2 linked regions of the Diceros bicornis minor genome follow. The protein of the gene in region 2 binds, or shares a complex with, the protein of the main gene of each other region. Links are inferred from orthologs where the notes say so. Each region holds a gene or a part of one and is shown on either strand. Other genes may lie near its edges.

Region 1 (7,854 bases), on a different chromosome or scaffold from region 2:
ACACTATGTATTGTATGGGCTGGTGGCTGCCATGCAGCCCCGAATGCTGGTTACATTCGATGAGGAGCTGCGGCCATTGCCAGTATCTGTCCGTGTGGGCCAGGTGAGGGGTTGAGCAGAGGGGAGGGCTCAGGCTGTACAGTCATGTGCTGTATAACAATGTTTCAGTCAATGATGGACCGTGTATACAATGATGGTCCCATAAGATTAGTAGCATAGATCCTGGGTGTATAGTAGGCTACACCATCTAGGTTTGTACAAGTACACTCTATGATGTTTGCACAACGATGAAATCGCCTAACAATGCATTTCTCAGAACATATCCCCATCATTAAGTGATGCATGACTGTACTTTAAAACTTGGAGAGTGCACATATGCCTGCTTTTCTGAAACTGGTGTGAGCACTGGGTTGCTGCGACACTCCCATTTGGAGTCCCTTCATCTCAATTTTCTTATCCTACAGGCAGTGGATGTGGTGGGCCAGGCCGGCAAGCCTAAGACCATCACAGGGTTCCAGACACACACAACGCCAGTGTTGTTGGCCCACGGGGAACGGGCAGAATTGGCCACTGAGGAGTTTCTTCCTGTCACCCCCATTTTGGAAGGTTTTGTTATCCTTCGGAAGAACCCCAACTATGACCTCTAAGTGGCCACCAGGGCCTTTGAGCTGCAGCTGTTGTCAGTGGGCCGTGCTTCCTGCTGCCAGGGGTGGACACTGCTCCAGACTTGTGAGGGAATTGTTACCTCCTGTTCTTTTGTTACCAAGTGAGATAACTTTGTTGAATAAAGACCTTTATCCCCGAGGTCCCTCTGTGTCTCTTTTCTGGGGTACCATGGGCTGGAGGTCAGACTCGGGTGGGGAGTAGATGTGAGACAGCATTGTTTGTAGCAGTTTTGAGCTGAGGCTAGGAGAGAGACTGCCCTGAATGGAAAGAACTAAGACTCTTTCCCTTCTCTCCTCCTTCCTAATCATCTTTAAAAAGTGGTTCATGTTTAGGGGCATGAACCCTTAAGAAGCTGATAAATGTAATGGATCTTCTTTCTAGGAGATGCATACACACAAATTTTCATACAAATTCGTACAAATAACTTTCCAAGGTGGATCCCATACATCCCCTACTCCCACCCACCAATGCACGCCCACCTCAAGCCCATCATTTCCTGACTTTGGACTAAGGATACCTGCTCTAAGAGGCAGCAGAGTTAGCTCCACTCTTTCTAACTCGACTCCTGGGCCGCTGATTGAAAGGGACGTCTTTACCTCCTGTGACCCTCTTTTCCTCCTTGGGAGGTTGCTATTTGAGAGATTTGATCATATTAACATCTATTTCTGGACTGTCCTTGCAGAAACTGGGTGCAAGAAAGCTTGACCCTGACCTTCCTCTCAGTGTAGCAATGGGAAAGAGAAGTGGGCTCCTTCCTGGAATATAATCACCCTTGATCTGCAGTGCTTCTTCCTGGTGGGGCTGGTATGAGTATAGCAACCCTGCCAGGTGGGGCATGGACCCCGCGGATGCAGTGGAGAACACGTGGCCCTGCCAGATAATCACTAGCATTTACCCAACACTGGGGTTTACCCTCTGAACAGTAACTGGCACTTAATAGGTCTTCTATAAATGTTGGAAGAATAATTGTCCTACACGCTTTTGAGACCTCACAATAACTTTGAGAGGTAGGTATTATCCCTGTGTTTTGGGGAGGAATGTAGTTTGGGTGAGGTTTGGTAACTTAGTCACATAGTAAATGGTGGGGCCAGGATTGGAGTCTAAGTCCATCTGACTCCAAAGCCCACACCCTCATTGACCACATTAATCTGTCTCTGTAGCCTTGGAGACTTGCGGACCCTATTGTAGTCCAAGGTATTGGCTAGGTGGAGAAGTGGAAATTTTGGATTGAGTGTCTCCGTTGTCTCCTCTCTGCACTCACTTGGCAGCCTGTATAAAATCTGTAAAAGGTTGAAGCACTGGACTTGGGAGTCAAGTCCCTTTAATGGGACCTGCTGTAGTCTGAGCAAATCAGCATGTCTGATGAGCCTCTGTTATCATCTGTATTACTTGGATAGAGTAATTGCCTTTCCTGATTTCCAATAGTGGTGATGTTAAAATAAGGTAAATTAGAAAGTGATTTGTAAACTGCAAAACAACATAAATAAAAAGATAATTCTCTCCTAAATCAGTGATTGTGCTTTAGAGTAAGAAATTTTCATAGTGGCTCTCAACCTTTCACATTTGGTCATGCATTCTGCAACAAATATCAATGGAGCCTTATTCTGCATTGGGCATTATTCTAGCTTGTGGGGATGCAAAGATAGAAAAAAAAAATCCTATCAAAGCTTATGTAGGGCTGGCCCTGTGGCTTAGCGGTTAAGTGCGCACGCTCCTCTGCTGGCAGCCCGGGTTCAGATCATGGGCGTGCACCAATGCACCGCTTCTCCGGCCATGCTGAGGCTGCGTCCCACATACAGCAACTAGAAGGATGTGCAGCTATGACATACAACTGTCTACTGGGGCTTTGGGGGGAAAAATAAATAAATAAATTACAAAGCTTATGTAATGGAAAATAATTGTGATATATCATGATAGATACTGTATTGGGCTGTGAACAAGGTACCCTGGGATCACTGAAATAAGGCTTAAGTGCCTGGGTAGGTCAGGGGAGATTTTGAGGAAACAGACTTGGAGGAAGATGAGTTTTTCCAGAAGAAAAGAGAGTAGGATAAAACTAAGGGAGCAGCAAAAGCAGGAGGGCAGAAAAGCTATTCATTTTAAAAAACCAGGGATATGGGCCGGCCCCGTGGCTTAGCGGTTAAGTGCGTGCGCTCCGCTGCTGGCGACCCGGGTTCGGATCCTGGGCGTGCACTGACGCGCCGCTTCTCCGGCCATGCTGAGGCCGAGTCTCACATACAGCAACTAGAAGGATGTGCAGCTATGACGTACAACTATCTACTGGGGCTTTGGGGGGAAAAAAATAAATAAATAAAATTATAAAAAAAAAAAAAAAAACAGGGATAGCTTGGTTTGACAAAGGGTATAGGGCCAGGGAAAAGTGTGGTAGGAGATACAGTTAGAGACAGAGGCTCAGATAGGTTTAGAAGAGCTTTGTTGTGCTAAGAAATTGACAGTATCACTCAATGGGAACCACTGAATGAGAGCATGATCAGCTACCTGGGTGAGAAAGCTCACCATTGAGGTGCGGAGACCAGGCAAAGGAAATGAAGGCCTGAACCAGGGCAGTAGAAATGGGGGGATGGGGAAGCACAGAAGAATAATTTTTTAAAGATAAAATCCACAGGACTTGATTTTGATCCAAACACCAATAGGACCTGGTGTCTGATTAGATGTAGTATGTGGATGAGAAGGAATGTAGGATGGATCCCAGATTTTCTGGTTGGATGCTATTCATTGAAAAAGAATACATGAGCAACACCAGGTTTGGGGTCAAGGTGTAGGACTCTATGTAGAGAGAGATGACAAATTCCTATCTGGGCATACACAATTTGAGATGCCTCTGGGGTGATTAGGTGATTATGTATTTTATGTAGCACCTTTTTCTTACTGGAGTTTGAGAGAGTGGTTTCTGATCTAGGAAGGGATTGGCATGTAGGCAGTAACTGATTTTTATTTATTAGTTTGCTTATGCAGAAAGAGAAATGAGAAGAGTACAGAAGGCAGCCATACACAGTAAAGTCACAGAACTCAAATGAAGAGTGTCACAGAGAACACTCTAGATTTGCATTTTCATTCTCACTATGGTTCCTTCTCGATGTGTCTATTTTGCTTTCCTTTCTTTGGAGCTTTAGTTTCTCATATACAATGGGAATAATAATACAATCTATTTTGTAGGAAATTGTGAGGACTATATATGACATACGTCATATATATTAAGTGACCAGTTCATCGATTGGTGCTGAGAAAACCTTTTCTTCTGAGATTTTATGTGTATATACACAGAGAGAGGAGAAGGGAGAGGGGAGAAGACAGAGGACAGAGGTAGAGAGAGGAGAGGGTATCCAGGCACTGTTTTAAGCACTTTCACATGAATTAACTCCTTTAATCCTCTCAATCCGATACAATGGGTATTATCATTGTGAGAAAAAGCACAGTGGTTAAAAGCTCAGACTTGAGTTCAAATCTTCCCATTTTACAACAGGTATTAGGTAGGTAGGTAGGTATGTGGCCAGGGAGTAAGCAGCAGAGTTTGGATTAAAACTCAGGCTATCTGACTGAGTAAATACGTGGATTTGGCTCTAGTACGGTCCCTTCTGGTGTCCAAAATTTTTTGGCTAACGGGCAGGGGTTTTGGGATTACTTCTTCTACCATTATTCTGAACTTTCTATGCTTGAGTTTGTCCCTCTCTGGGAGCGGCTGATCTTTGTAAAAGACAAATCTAACAATACTAATTCCCTAGTTAGAATGTTTCAATACTTCTAGAGTAACATTCAGTTTAATTGGTCTTTTCATGAGCTAACCTACATTATTTTCAAAGGCTGCATAATTCGTATTTCTTTCCGTACTTATTGCATGATTTACTTAGGCAGGACTGAGTCTTTAATTTCAGTATTCTCAGCTCCCAGCGAGCACTTCACCTAGCGCTTAGTATGCACTCCATAAATGCTTGCTCAAAGTATGAATGAACTAAAGAACCACGGAACACAGACGCAGAAGGGGGTCGGTCTGGGAGTTCCAAAGTTCGGGAGGGGACACGGGGGCGGGCAGTGGCAGTCACATGACGAGGCGGGGCAAATCCCATGTGCTCCGCGGCGCCAGGCGCGGCTCCGCCCTCTGCGCCGGTCACGTGGGGGCGCCGGCTGCGCCTGCGGAGAAGCGGTGGCCGCCGAGCGGGATCTGTGCGGGGAGCCGGAAATGGTTGTGGACTACGTCTGTGCGGCTGCGTGGGGCTCGGCCGCGCGGACTGAAGGAGACTGAAGGTAAAGCCGCCATGTCCGGGCCCGACCCGGCCCCCCCACCCCCTCCCCCCGCATCCGCCGCCATCCAGGCCGGGACCGGCCACCCTGCGCCGCCGCCCTGGCACCCTGGCTCCGCGGCCCAAGCCCGGGCCCCGGCCCTCCAGGGCCCGATCTCCGGCCCACGTGTGCCCGGCCTGGCTGCTGGGTGGGGGCGGGGGAGCGCCGGGCCGGAATATGCGGTCCCCGCGGGCAGGGAGGGCGCCGAGTTCGCCTGTCGCGAGGTGCCACCTCGGCTCGACCCGAGGAGGCCCCGCGGGCGCAGCACCGCGGCTCCCGGCCCGCCGCCCCATCCCCCCTTTGCGGCCCGGCCGCCGGGAAGTGACACGTTGTTCTTTGGCACTGGCCGGCGCTGCGCAGGGAGGGCGCAGGGGAGGGAGGCAGCGGCGGCGGGCAGGGAGGAGCCCCCGGCCCCGCCCGGCCTCCGGGCCGACCCTCACTTGTTTGAAACCGGCTTCTCTTCGGCCGCCGCCCGCCTGGCCTTTTACGGCCCGACTCCCGCCCTTCCTGGCCTCCACGCCTGGGTGGCGGCAGGCCTCGCCTCTGGCCCCGCGCGAGTGCCCCCGCGGCAGGCGTGCCTTGTGTGCCCCTGGGCCAGGCCCCGAACCCGGTGTCCCCGGGTGGGGGGTGGGGACACCACGGCCGAAGCTACTAGCTCCGTTTGTGATCCGGGAGCCTGGTGCCAGCGAGACCTGGAATTTCCGGTCTGGTTGGTCTTGGGCCCCGCGGAGCCAGGTTGATACCCCTCAACTCCCAACCCCAGGCCCTCGGATGCCCAGAACCTGTAGGCCGCACCGTGGACTTACTGTTAACCGAGGGGGTGAGTGAGGTGGCTCTTTCATCAGGTCAGGGAGGTGGTTGGAGGTGATGCGGGTTTGACAACGTGTTGATGGGGACATAAGCTGGATCCTTGCTGCTCCTTCACCCTCTTGGCGCCTCCGGGGGTCGGTATGGGACTCAGCCCTTGCTTCAACCCCTCCCCCAGTCCATTTGCCTTAAGCTTGGGTCCCTTCTCCTTTCCGAGCTCCACTCTTTCCCAACAGGTGCTGGGGGGACCCTGATGTGGCACCAAATGAAATGAACAAAGCTCCACAGCCCACAGGCCCCCCACCCGCCCCATCCCCTGGACTCCCACAGGTAATTAGGGACGAATTAGCAGAGACTGGGGTGGGGGTGGGGGGACCAGGCAGCTGGGTCAGAAACAGGTTCTAGCCTCTGGATTTCCCACCCCCATCTGTGTCAGGGCAAAGTGCAGCTTCCTGCTGCCAAATTGAGACAGAGCCCCTGGGCTGTTCCCAGGGGCTGTCATGGGGAGGGGGTATGTGGACTGCTGAGACTCTTGTCACAGATCTGCTCCCCTTACTTCACCAGCTTGGGTTTCTGCCCCACCCGGGTTTCCCCTCTTGCTGAACTCTGGTCTCCCTCCTTCAGCCAGCGTTTCCCCCGGGGCAGACAGCACCGGTGGTGTTCAGTACGCCACAAGCGACACAAATGAACACGCCTTCTCAGCCCCGCCAGGTGAGGGGCCGTGGGGAGGGGAGTAGGGGGCCTGGGTGGGGCCTTGGAAAGCTTGGGCCAGTTTGGGTCTAGGATGGAAACTCTGGAGGCCCTGTACCTGCCCCAGTTTCCTGACAGTTGCTCTGTGTTCTTTTGTGCAGCTCTGCACTTTGCGCTGTTGATTACTTACAGTATCTGGCCCCTTGGGGAGTATGTAGTTGGTGGGGGTGGCGTTACTAGGGGTCCTGGTGACTTGAGAATTGGGGGCAGTGCTTTGGACCCTGCTGCCAACTCCTGCTTTCCTATTTCCTCCTTTTACTGGGAGGTTGCCATTGCTCTGTTCCCCTTCCCTTCTTTCTCTTGGGGCTATGATGGGATAAACATTCCAGCTGGTTCTTGCCTTTATCTATACCCTAAATTCTTCCTCGCTAAGTGGGAGGATTCTTGTCCTACTTCCTTCATTGTTCCCCCTCATCACCTTGGGGATAATTCTCTTCTTTCCTGTCCCCACGTGCTCTCAGGGAGGATTCAGGTCTCTGCAGGTAATACCCCTTTGCTAATCCTGGACCTTCTCTTGGTCTCACCCTTACCCTCCACCCTAGTCAGGGGCTAGATGCAAGGACTGGGGCTCTTCAGGGTGGGGACTTGTTTGTCATTCAAGTCCTCAGTCTGAGCCTGACTGATGCATGTTAGGGGCTATATCTCGCAGAGCGTGCATCTGGGACCTGGGAGACTTGCATGTTAGTGGTTAGTTCCTCAGTGCCTTAGGTGGAGCAGTGCATGCTGAGGAGTATGTTGCCCGAAAGGACTTTACTTAGGCATGATGCATCTGGGTATCAGGCAGCCTCTGCATAGGGGTCGCCTGGTGGAGGTGACATGAGTATGCATGGCAGTGAGGGAGTAAATATATGCAGAGTGCAAAGTGTATACCTGAGTTTGGAGGGCATGTGTGAGTACAAGAGGCCAGTTAATCATCAGTTGGTCAAGTGGGTCTTGGAAGTATTGGTCTCCATGCTCCAAAGCCCCTAGTACTTCTCTCCAGTCTAGAGACATTGTGGAATGGCCATTTTGCTGTCCACTTCCTCCCCTTCCCAATGCCAACTGCCTTCCTCCCTCCTGACAGCACTTCTACCCTAGCCGGGCCCAGCCCCCGAGCAGTGCAGCCTCCCGAGTGCAGAGTGCAGCCCCCGCCCGCCCTGGCCCAGCTGCCCATGTCTACCCTGCTGGATCCCAAGTAATGATGATCCCTTCCCAGATCTCCTACCCAGCCTCCCAGGGGGCCTACTACATCCCCGGACAGGTGAGGCTGGAGGCTTGGGGGCTGGAAGCCACAGAGCCTTGTACCCCAACCCTCGCCTCCCTCACCCTGACCTTCCAATCCCATCTCTTCTC
Region 2 (7,989 bases):
ACTGTCATCTCTGAATACTGCATTTGAAAATCAAAATCACTGTAAGCTATCTTCTTAATTTCCTTTTTTCAGCTAGACTTAGAAAGTTCAGTCTTCAAGGTGACACAGATATTAAAATTAGAATATAAGCCATGCTCATGTCCACATTTCAAAAATGTCTCTATGACAAAAATGGAGCAGTTCACAGGTACCAGAAGAGCAAGGAAATTTCCAATATTAGAAGGCAAGGGAAAGTAGAAATTACTATTGCTAGAGCAATTATTTCACAGGTTCCTTGTTATATCCATGACTATTGTTACTTTTACTATATTCTTAACTTGATATAAATTGAACAGAATATTTTATAAAAATTTCTTTGCCTAAAATTTTCTATCCAAATTGGCTTAAGCTTACATAATTCATTTTGCATTTTATTCTCTGGAACTTCGGTGTGTAAACTGTGTCTGTTTCTAAGTTGAATTTCTCTAAGTCAAATAATTATGCATAATATTAATTCAAAGCATAAAATTTAGTGAAATTTGAATATAAATACCAGAACTGAATTTATTTGGTTTATGAACAAAGTTTGATATACTGGGTTCTTTCATTAAAGCAAAAACACACATATTAACTTGCAAGATCTGCTTGTTAATCAACAATTTTTGGTCAACAAAAAACACTGAATTATATAACAACATATTTGTCAATATGTATTTAAGCCTTATTCACTTTTAATAAATAAACTCTGCAATACAAAGCATGTTTCTAAAGGATAAAAAAGGAAACATTAGATCAGCTGACCATCCAAGTTGATTCCACTTATGAAATTAATTTTTAATTTATAAAAAAATTCAAGAGATACAATGTGAAAACAAGTAACATTATATACCTTCAGTTTAACTAAAGAAACCAAAATTAATCTCTTACCTTGAAAAGAACTACAAGTCAAAAAAAAAGCCCAACAATGAAGAATGTAGAATAAAGATAAAGCTACAAAGAAACAAGACCCACTGAGGCAAGACCGCCTGGGGAAACTGCCTTGCCCTCTTCACCAACTAATATTAAGTCTAATTTTGACTCAGCCACAATTCAAATGCCAAGACAGTAACAGGAGAGTATCGTTTATCCCAATGTTCAAAATTTTGCCATATTACCTGTAAAGAGGTAAAATGCTTCCTTTAATTTGCCCTGTCAAACTTCTCAACAAATTTACTATTTGTAAGCCATATCTTAATGTCACTGAACTCATACACATACACTTGAGAAAACCCACACGATAATATCAAATTGAAAATGACTGATGTTTTATATAACTTCCATAGATAAAAATTCCCCCAAACGCTTATGAAAAGTGGAACAAGCAGGAAAAACCCATGGCTCTTTAAGTGCTTATGATTATGCCTAGCAGAAAAGCAATAAGGAAACTCACAAGCGAGCTGAAACAGCAATGAACAAATATGCTTTCTGTAGGCTTCAGCAGGGATACCTCAATTGTAACCAATACTAATCAACTGCTTAAAAAAAAATTCCCACTATTTAAAATTGTCAAAAAGAATCTAAACTACTAACTTGTGGACAAGCGTGCATTAAAAGTACTAAAAATGTGCATTTTCACTAAAAATGAACACTTCAATGTTATTTTACATACATCCTCAAACTACTACAGTTTAACCTGGCTTTCCATTTTCACACACTTTAGGTTTTTAAGTTTCCTGCTCCCCAAACCTAAATGCAGTATCCAAATCTCTGGGTCAGCACTAGAACAAATTCTATACTGTATCACTGACCACATCACTGGCAATTAAGCTCTTTAACAGTTTACATTGAATAAGGTATAGAATCACATCTTGTATAACTTTGTATTTCTAAAGAATGCTTGGTTCAACGTCCTAAATATATCAGGGGCTATATTTACTAACTCAAACTAATCCTTCAACACTTTGTAGTTCTCTGCTGTTGAAACAAAACTGCATAACTTTGCAAAATCCAAAGGACCTAAATGTTACTGAAACTTCACAGAATACATTACTGTTTTATGTTTTGAGGTATGAGTCTTGCCCCTATTACCAGCTGTAATGCTTTTTAGTGACACTGGTACAAGTGAATAGCAGAGCAGATCCAGCCAGAAGTGGACAACACCCTAAAAGGGATTTAAATTAAAAGTTTACATATTTATCCTACGTCTTTAGCTATGTAGCATTAATGTTCTAAAGTCAGTTAATTGTATCAACTACTTGAGACAGTTTTGCAGTCAACCTGATTTCTAGGAACATAAATAAAAACTGGTACCAATTAAAGAACAAGTAATCAAGTAGAAAAACTGCCTTAAATCCGGGCAACAAGGTAAGGATAGTTCACATTAATGTAATGAAAAAGAAGCCTTTTTGTATTCTGTAGGCCTCTCCATGACTAGTTTTTGAAACAGTTATTAAAAAAAAAAAAGTCAAAGCAAATTGGTAAGCCATTATCAAAATCACAAACTACCACTACAGATACACAAAAATATCTGGCAACCAAGGTCTAGAACTGGTTCCAGAGTGTCAAAGGTTTTCTGGTTATTAACATAGCCCATTATGCCTCTAAAACAATGTCACTCAGATGTGACATTCCTAAAACGGCAACATAGGCCTAGAAGTTTCAGCGTCAGTGCTAATGCTGGCAAACTCAAACTATGACCAAGATACTCTCTCTCCTTGGGGTTAACTACCAATTTTCTGCTCCGGGATCAGCTTGCTTCAACCAAGTTTAAGATGGTGCCTACATTGAGAGGAAAGTGGGTAGAACAGATAAAGAGAAAACATTCAAAGGGAAGCTTAATTTTAAAAGTTAAGTTCTTGATTCCAATAAACCGCGCCTTAGAAGTCTTCCAGACGACAAGGACTCGGAAGAACAGCTGGATGTAGACCCATTCGCTTCTCTGAGGCGTGCGCACTGCGCGGAAAGCATGAATGAATGGAAGAGGCTCGTGTGAAACGCAGCAGGTCCGGCCGGCAACCAGACCGGCGGCAGCGCTCAGTAGGCCTCGCTCCTCCCCTTCCCTCCTCCATGACAGCCCAGGCTCGAGCATGGAGGGGCGAGGACAATGTGATCCCCCTTCTCACCACCACCACCACCACCCTTCATCCTACTCAGAAAGCTTTACCGCGCGACACGCGGCTCTCCTCCCCACCCCAAACCGCCCTCGCCTCCCCGGCCGCCAGCCCCGGCCACTCCCGGGCGCTGGAGTACCATGCGCTCGCCCCTCGGCGCCCCTCGGCGAGGTCGACGCTCTCCGCGCGTGCCGCGGCGCCGCTCCCGCCCAACCCACCCTCCGGCCACGCGCGCCCACCGGCTCCCCGGCACGCTGGTCGGTGAAGACCCGCGCGCGCCCGCACCCGAACCCCCGGGCGGGAGCTCAGGAGGGAGGGAGGGATAGGCTGCCCCGGGGCTCCCTCCTCGATCTCCTTCCAGGCCGGCTCGCCACCCACCCTCCCTGCGGATCCCGGCGCCCGCTCGGGGCCGGCCCCGCGCCTTCCTGTCCCGAAGGCACAATCCCCACACACCCAGCCCGGGGCCACGGTCTCCCTGCACCCTGGTCGACACCCGCGGCGCGGCAGGGGGCGCCGCCCCTCCCCCACGCCTCTCCCCCAGCTCTCAGCCCCCACCAGAACGTGTGCGCTCCACGCCGCGCCGCCAGCCTCCGGGGCGCCCCCCGGGGCCCGCGGGCAGGTCAGGCCCAAGAAGAGGGGGAGGGGGCGGCAAGGGGTAGCGTGCGCGCCAGGAACGCCGTCCCGCGGGGTCCCCTAGTCCGAAGGGGGCCGGAGCGCGGGGACCCGAGGGGGTGGGGGCCAAAGGCAATACTCACCGGTTCCACAGTCGCCATCTTAGATCGATCTGATCGCACAACCGCTCCTGGAGGGGGGGTGAGAGAAAAAAATGAGATTCAAACCGGATTGGCCGGCTACTGTCCACGTGACGGACGTGTCCGTTTGGCCCTGGCGGCGCCTGCGCAAGACTGCGGCTGCGTGAATGACCAGGGGCTTCTGGGAAGTGGAGTCTCTTTTCTCCCTCCCTCTGTCTCTCTTTTTTTTTTTTTTTTTTCTCTTCAGGGCAAAGAAGTTTAAAAAAAAGGCGTGGTCACGTGGTCGATGGGTAGGGTGCGCGGTTCTTGGCGCGGCGACGCTCGCGTGCTGGAGGGTAGTTTTCAGTCCTCTGCTCTCCCACCTGGGTAGGTGCTGTCGCACTTACTGCCAGGCATGCCTATTGTGCCCTTTGTCGCCCTGTCCTCCCATCTTCCCCGGAAGGCTCAGTACGCACAATAAGGCTTCATTTGTTTAGTTGCGGTCCTAGGACAGGTTGTGTGTTTATTTAATTTTCTTTTGACTTCCCACCATTTTCCCTTAGTTTCAAAAAGAGGCGGCGATGGAGAGTCGTTGTTTAAGGAATCAACCCTGCCCCGTCCCCGGCTCCGCTACCGGTCGTGGTCACTCGTTGCCATCTCTGCGAAAGGGGGTGGCAGAACCGCCCACCGTGCCCACTTGCCCCAGGCTGGGGGAGGGGGAGTGCACCCGACAGCTTTTGCAGTCCCAAATGCTGAGAGTAAGACCTCAGGGCTAAATCTTGAGTGGAAGGAACAATTATTTGGAAGGTCTGTCTTCTCGGTTGCACTATTCTGCTTTAACGTGAACAGAAATAGCCTAGGTCCAGGTGACAGCCAGGAAAGCCACTCCGGGTCCCGCTGACTAAGCCTTGGGCTGACCGTCAGGAGTCGTTAGGCCTGGTCAACTATGACTCTGGACGTTGACTCATTCTCCTTAGGCGAGTGACTTAATCGTTCAGTGCCTCGGCTTTTTCATTTATGAACCACAGATGATAATACACTTACCTCACAAGGGTGTGCTGTGGTAATGATTGTATCCAGCTTTGAAAATGCATCGGACTCTGTAAATGCTTTATAATAAGCAACCTCGTGCCTTCCTAAGGATCAGTTGCTTCTCCTGCTATTTTTTTAAACAATGTTTTAAGTTTTTCTTTTGTTTACGTTATCATGTACACCGTGGCAATTTTAAAATTTCAAGACAATTTTTTTGTTTATAGCTAACCTCAGTAGAGGCTTTAATATTCACGAAAATATTGTTATATTCACAACAATCTCTGGCAATTAGAAATTTATCCCCACATTGGCATCCTACATTTCCTTTCCCGCTAAGATAGTGTGCTATCGTTTCTCAAGACAGTGTTATTCTGCACAGTCTGATTATTAATACAACAATCAGTACAGATAAAAGAAATCTAGTAGAATGCTGCTATAAGGTTCTCATGAGGAAGACATCATATCATCCCTATTTGCCATACTTCTTAAGAATGTTAACACCAGAAGATCAATATAAGCAGGGTGCTTGTGCCTGCCTGCTGATAGTGTTGCCAATGCCTAGAGCTGGGTCATCGCTATTGTTGAGTACATAATGGTGGCTTGAGTTGACTCACACATAGTTGAGGCTGTGTGAGAACTCAAAACCATTGCCTGTTCATATGTTTTGGTTTACCTGGATATCAGAGGTGATTAATGAAAGCTTTTCAGTCAGTTTAGCTCTAGTAGGTTTAAAGTAGATGGAATTAAAAAAAAAATAAACGGATGAATGGATTTCTACTTAGGCAGACTGTTACTTAAACTATCCAAAGTAATTACAGTTGATCTCAGTGGTATTTTCTGTTGGTTAGAAGTAGTATCTGGTTATCTTCTTTGAGGAGAGAGCATAAATGTGCTATTTTTATGATGCTGCTAGATAACAGAGCAAAGAATTAAGGAGATTTCAGTCCCCTTATAGGACTGAAAGCCGGTGATATTCTCAAAACTTCTTTTAGTGATAACCTCCATTTTATTAACTTTTCTCTTGATCAAAAAACTCCCCACTTTTGTCTATCATCCTAGTACTTCTACAATACTTACATATACTCCTATTCTTTATAGCTTAATTTCTCTCCATTTTGTATACACTTCGTTGCATGGCACATTCGTGTGTGTTTGCCTAATATTGCCATTAGAGTCTACCGTGTTAAAGATTTGATGATTAGATTTTTATTTACGTGTGTATGTGGTTGTTTTGTTTTTGCTAATCTGAAATATACAGAGCAGAAATTTTATACTTTATTTCTCTATTAATCCACAAAAAATTACATTTGTTACCTTACTACTGTATTCATACTTATGCTTAAAGAAAGGGTAATAAAAAGATATATGAAATGGGAGATAGTATTGAAATTCTATTCTACTAGATCAAGTTATCTGGTAAATACATAACTAATGGCCCAGCATAGTATCATGGTAACTATTATGTATAAGCCTGGAATAATTGGTTTTCATTTAGTGTCTATAAGTAGTCATGATCTTTTCTCTACATAATGTATTCATCAAGCTAGTATATTACTAGTCTTTATAGATTTAACTCACGGTAAAACACTTTAAAGAATTTGATGGAACACATCAGTTGTTTTTAATCATGTATTTACCTCTTTTTTATTGGAATTTTATTTAGGATTTCTAGATAACCCAAGTCATTGTTTTGCTGGGTATCAGTACTAAACGACCATTTTTCTTAAAATGAGTAGGTTTTGAGGCAGAAAATATGAATTGCATAATGAAGTAAATGATCCTTAATATTGCAATATTGAATATTAATTTAGATATAATCTAAACCAACCTCTAACTAACACTAACATTGTTTTTTTTAAAACCTATTCACTCAGTTTTTAAACTTGGTTATCCTTTACTTTATGCTCTATTTTTTAAAATTGTTATTGTGACTTTCTACAGTGATATTCCTTTAGGAAGGACCTAAGATGATGACTTCTAACAGGACAAATAATCTTTTCAATTACAGTTGCATAGTTTAGTATTTAAGAACGTGAGCACTGATGTCAAATTATCTTGGTTCATAATCCCAGTTCTACTGCTTACTGTGTGACCAAACAGATTATTTAGTCTCTTTGTGCCTCATTTTGTCATGAGTTAGATGGGCATAATAATAGTACTTATCTTGTATAACTGGTTAGTGTGAGAAATAAATGATGTAATATTATATTAACATAAATTTCTTATTTCTACTTTTTAGTATACTGTAATATGCGTAACAATTCTTTCATTAGAGAACCAACCTAGCCTATTATCTTTCAGGATAGTCCAAGCTTTCAAAGTCAACTAACATTGGTTTTCTATAACATGCCAAGTCTTTTTCATATTGATTACTTCATTTGACCTTTATAACAATTATGTGAATTATACATTATGCCCATTGTATAGGTAAAGAAACAGACTCAATAAAGTTAGGGGACACATGCGAGTCCACACAGCCAGTGGTGAGCTCGAATTCAAACCCAAGTCTCTTGACTCCAAGATTCTTCCCTCCATACCATAGCTGCTTTCCTCTCGTAGGTTCTTCCAAATGCCTTTTTCTGTTCAAAGGACTTCTAATACTAAGTTCGTTTATAGAACTGACAAACCATTCAAGAAGTGTTGAGTTAGTAATGGGAAATGTGAATTGCTGAAGGATATTTAAAGGACATGGGAAGCCTAGGCACTTCCTTCCTGGACTGTAAAATCTGCTTGGCATCCTAAGTCATAGGAATATAAATAGTTCAGTACCCATATAAAGAAGTGTGACTAAGAACCAAAAGGTTGCAGCTAACAAGCCCATCACAAGCACTCATTCACCTAATGAATGAGACAGCTGCAGAGTTCCTTCCCTCATTTCATTCAGATCTCTGTTCCGATGCCATCTCCCGAGGGAAGGCTTCCTTGACCACCCTATCAAAATTAGCATGCCCACTACTCTTTATACCCCTACCCTACTTTATTTTTCTTCAGACCACTGCATAACCCTAGCTCTAAACCCAGTATTATATTAAACATTATTTAATTAGTTGTTGGTTGTCTCCACTAATAAAATATTAGCTTCTTGATAGATAGGTCGATTGCTAACAAATATTTGGGACAAACCCAAATCTAATTTTAATAACTAGACAAAAAATCTA

Evidence for each region.
Region 1: the proteins of EIF4E (region 2) and EIF4G1 are in contact, whole or in part, in a crystal structure (PDB 5T46), measured with the Homo sapiens proteins. The link is inferred for Diceros bicornis minor from reciprocal best matches to the Homo sapiens genes EIF4E and EIF4G1. Residues at the interface, in NP_001959.1 of Homo sapiens: Pro31, Tyr34, Lys36, His37, Pro38, Leu39, Gln40, Phe47, Lys49, Arg61, Leu62, Ile63, Ser64, Val69, Glu70, Trp73, Ala74, Leu75, Tyr76, Asn77, His78, Ile79, Gln80, Leu85, Tyr91, Glu132, Leu135, Ile138, Gly139, Glu140; in NP_937884.2 of Homo sapiens: Glu608, Lys609, Lys610, Arg611, Tyr612, Arg614, Phe616, Leu617, Leu618, Phe620, Gln621, Phe622, Ile623, Phe624, Ala625, Ser626, Met627, Gln628, Lys629, Pro630, Leu633, Pro634, Ile636, Asp638, Val639, Val640, Leu641.

The regions. Positions count from the first base shown.
Region 1 is NC_080754.1:39,381,076-39,388,929, reverse strand, and holds the start of EIF4G1 (eukaryotic translation initiation factor 4 gamma 1), read left to right. Parts: upstream 1-4,820; 5' UTR 4,821-4,929; intron 4,930-5,728; 5' UTR 5,729-5,785; intron 5,786-6,008; 5' UTR 6,009-6,042; coding exon 6,043-6,102; intron 6,103-6,336; exon of another isoform or gene 6,337-6,396; coding exon 6,397-6,483; intron 6,484-7,585; coding exon 7,586-7,762; intron 7,763-7,854. Other genes in the region: PSMD2 (26S proteasome non-ATPase regulatory subunit 2), read left to right, coding at 1-103, 465-647.
Region 2 is NC_080747.1:81,778,390-81,786,378, forward strand, and holds the start of EIF4E (eukaryotic translation initiation factor 4E), read right to left. Parts: upstream 3,062-7,989; 5' UTR 3,047-3,061; coding exon 2,834-3,046; intron 1-2,833. UniProt on the Homo sapiens protein: Acts in the cytoplasm to initiate and regulate protein synthesis and is required in the nucleus for export of a subset of mRNAs from the nucleus to the cytoplasm which promotes processes such as RNA capping, processing and splicing.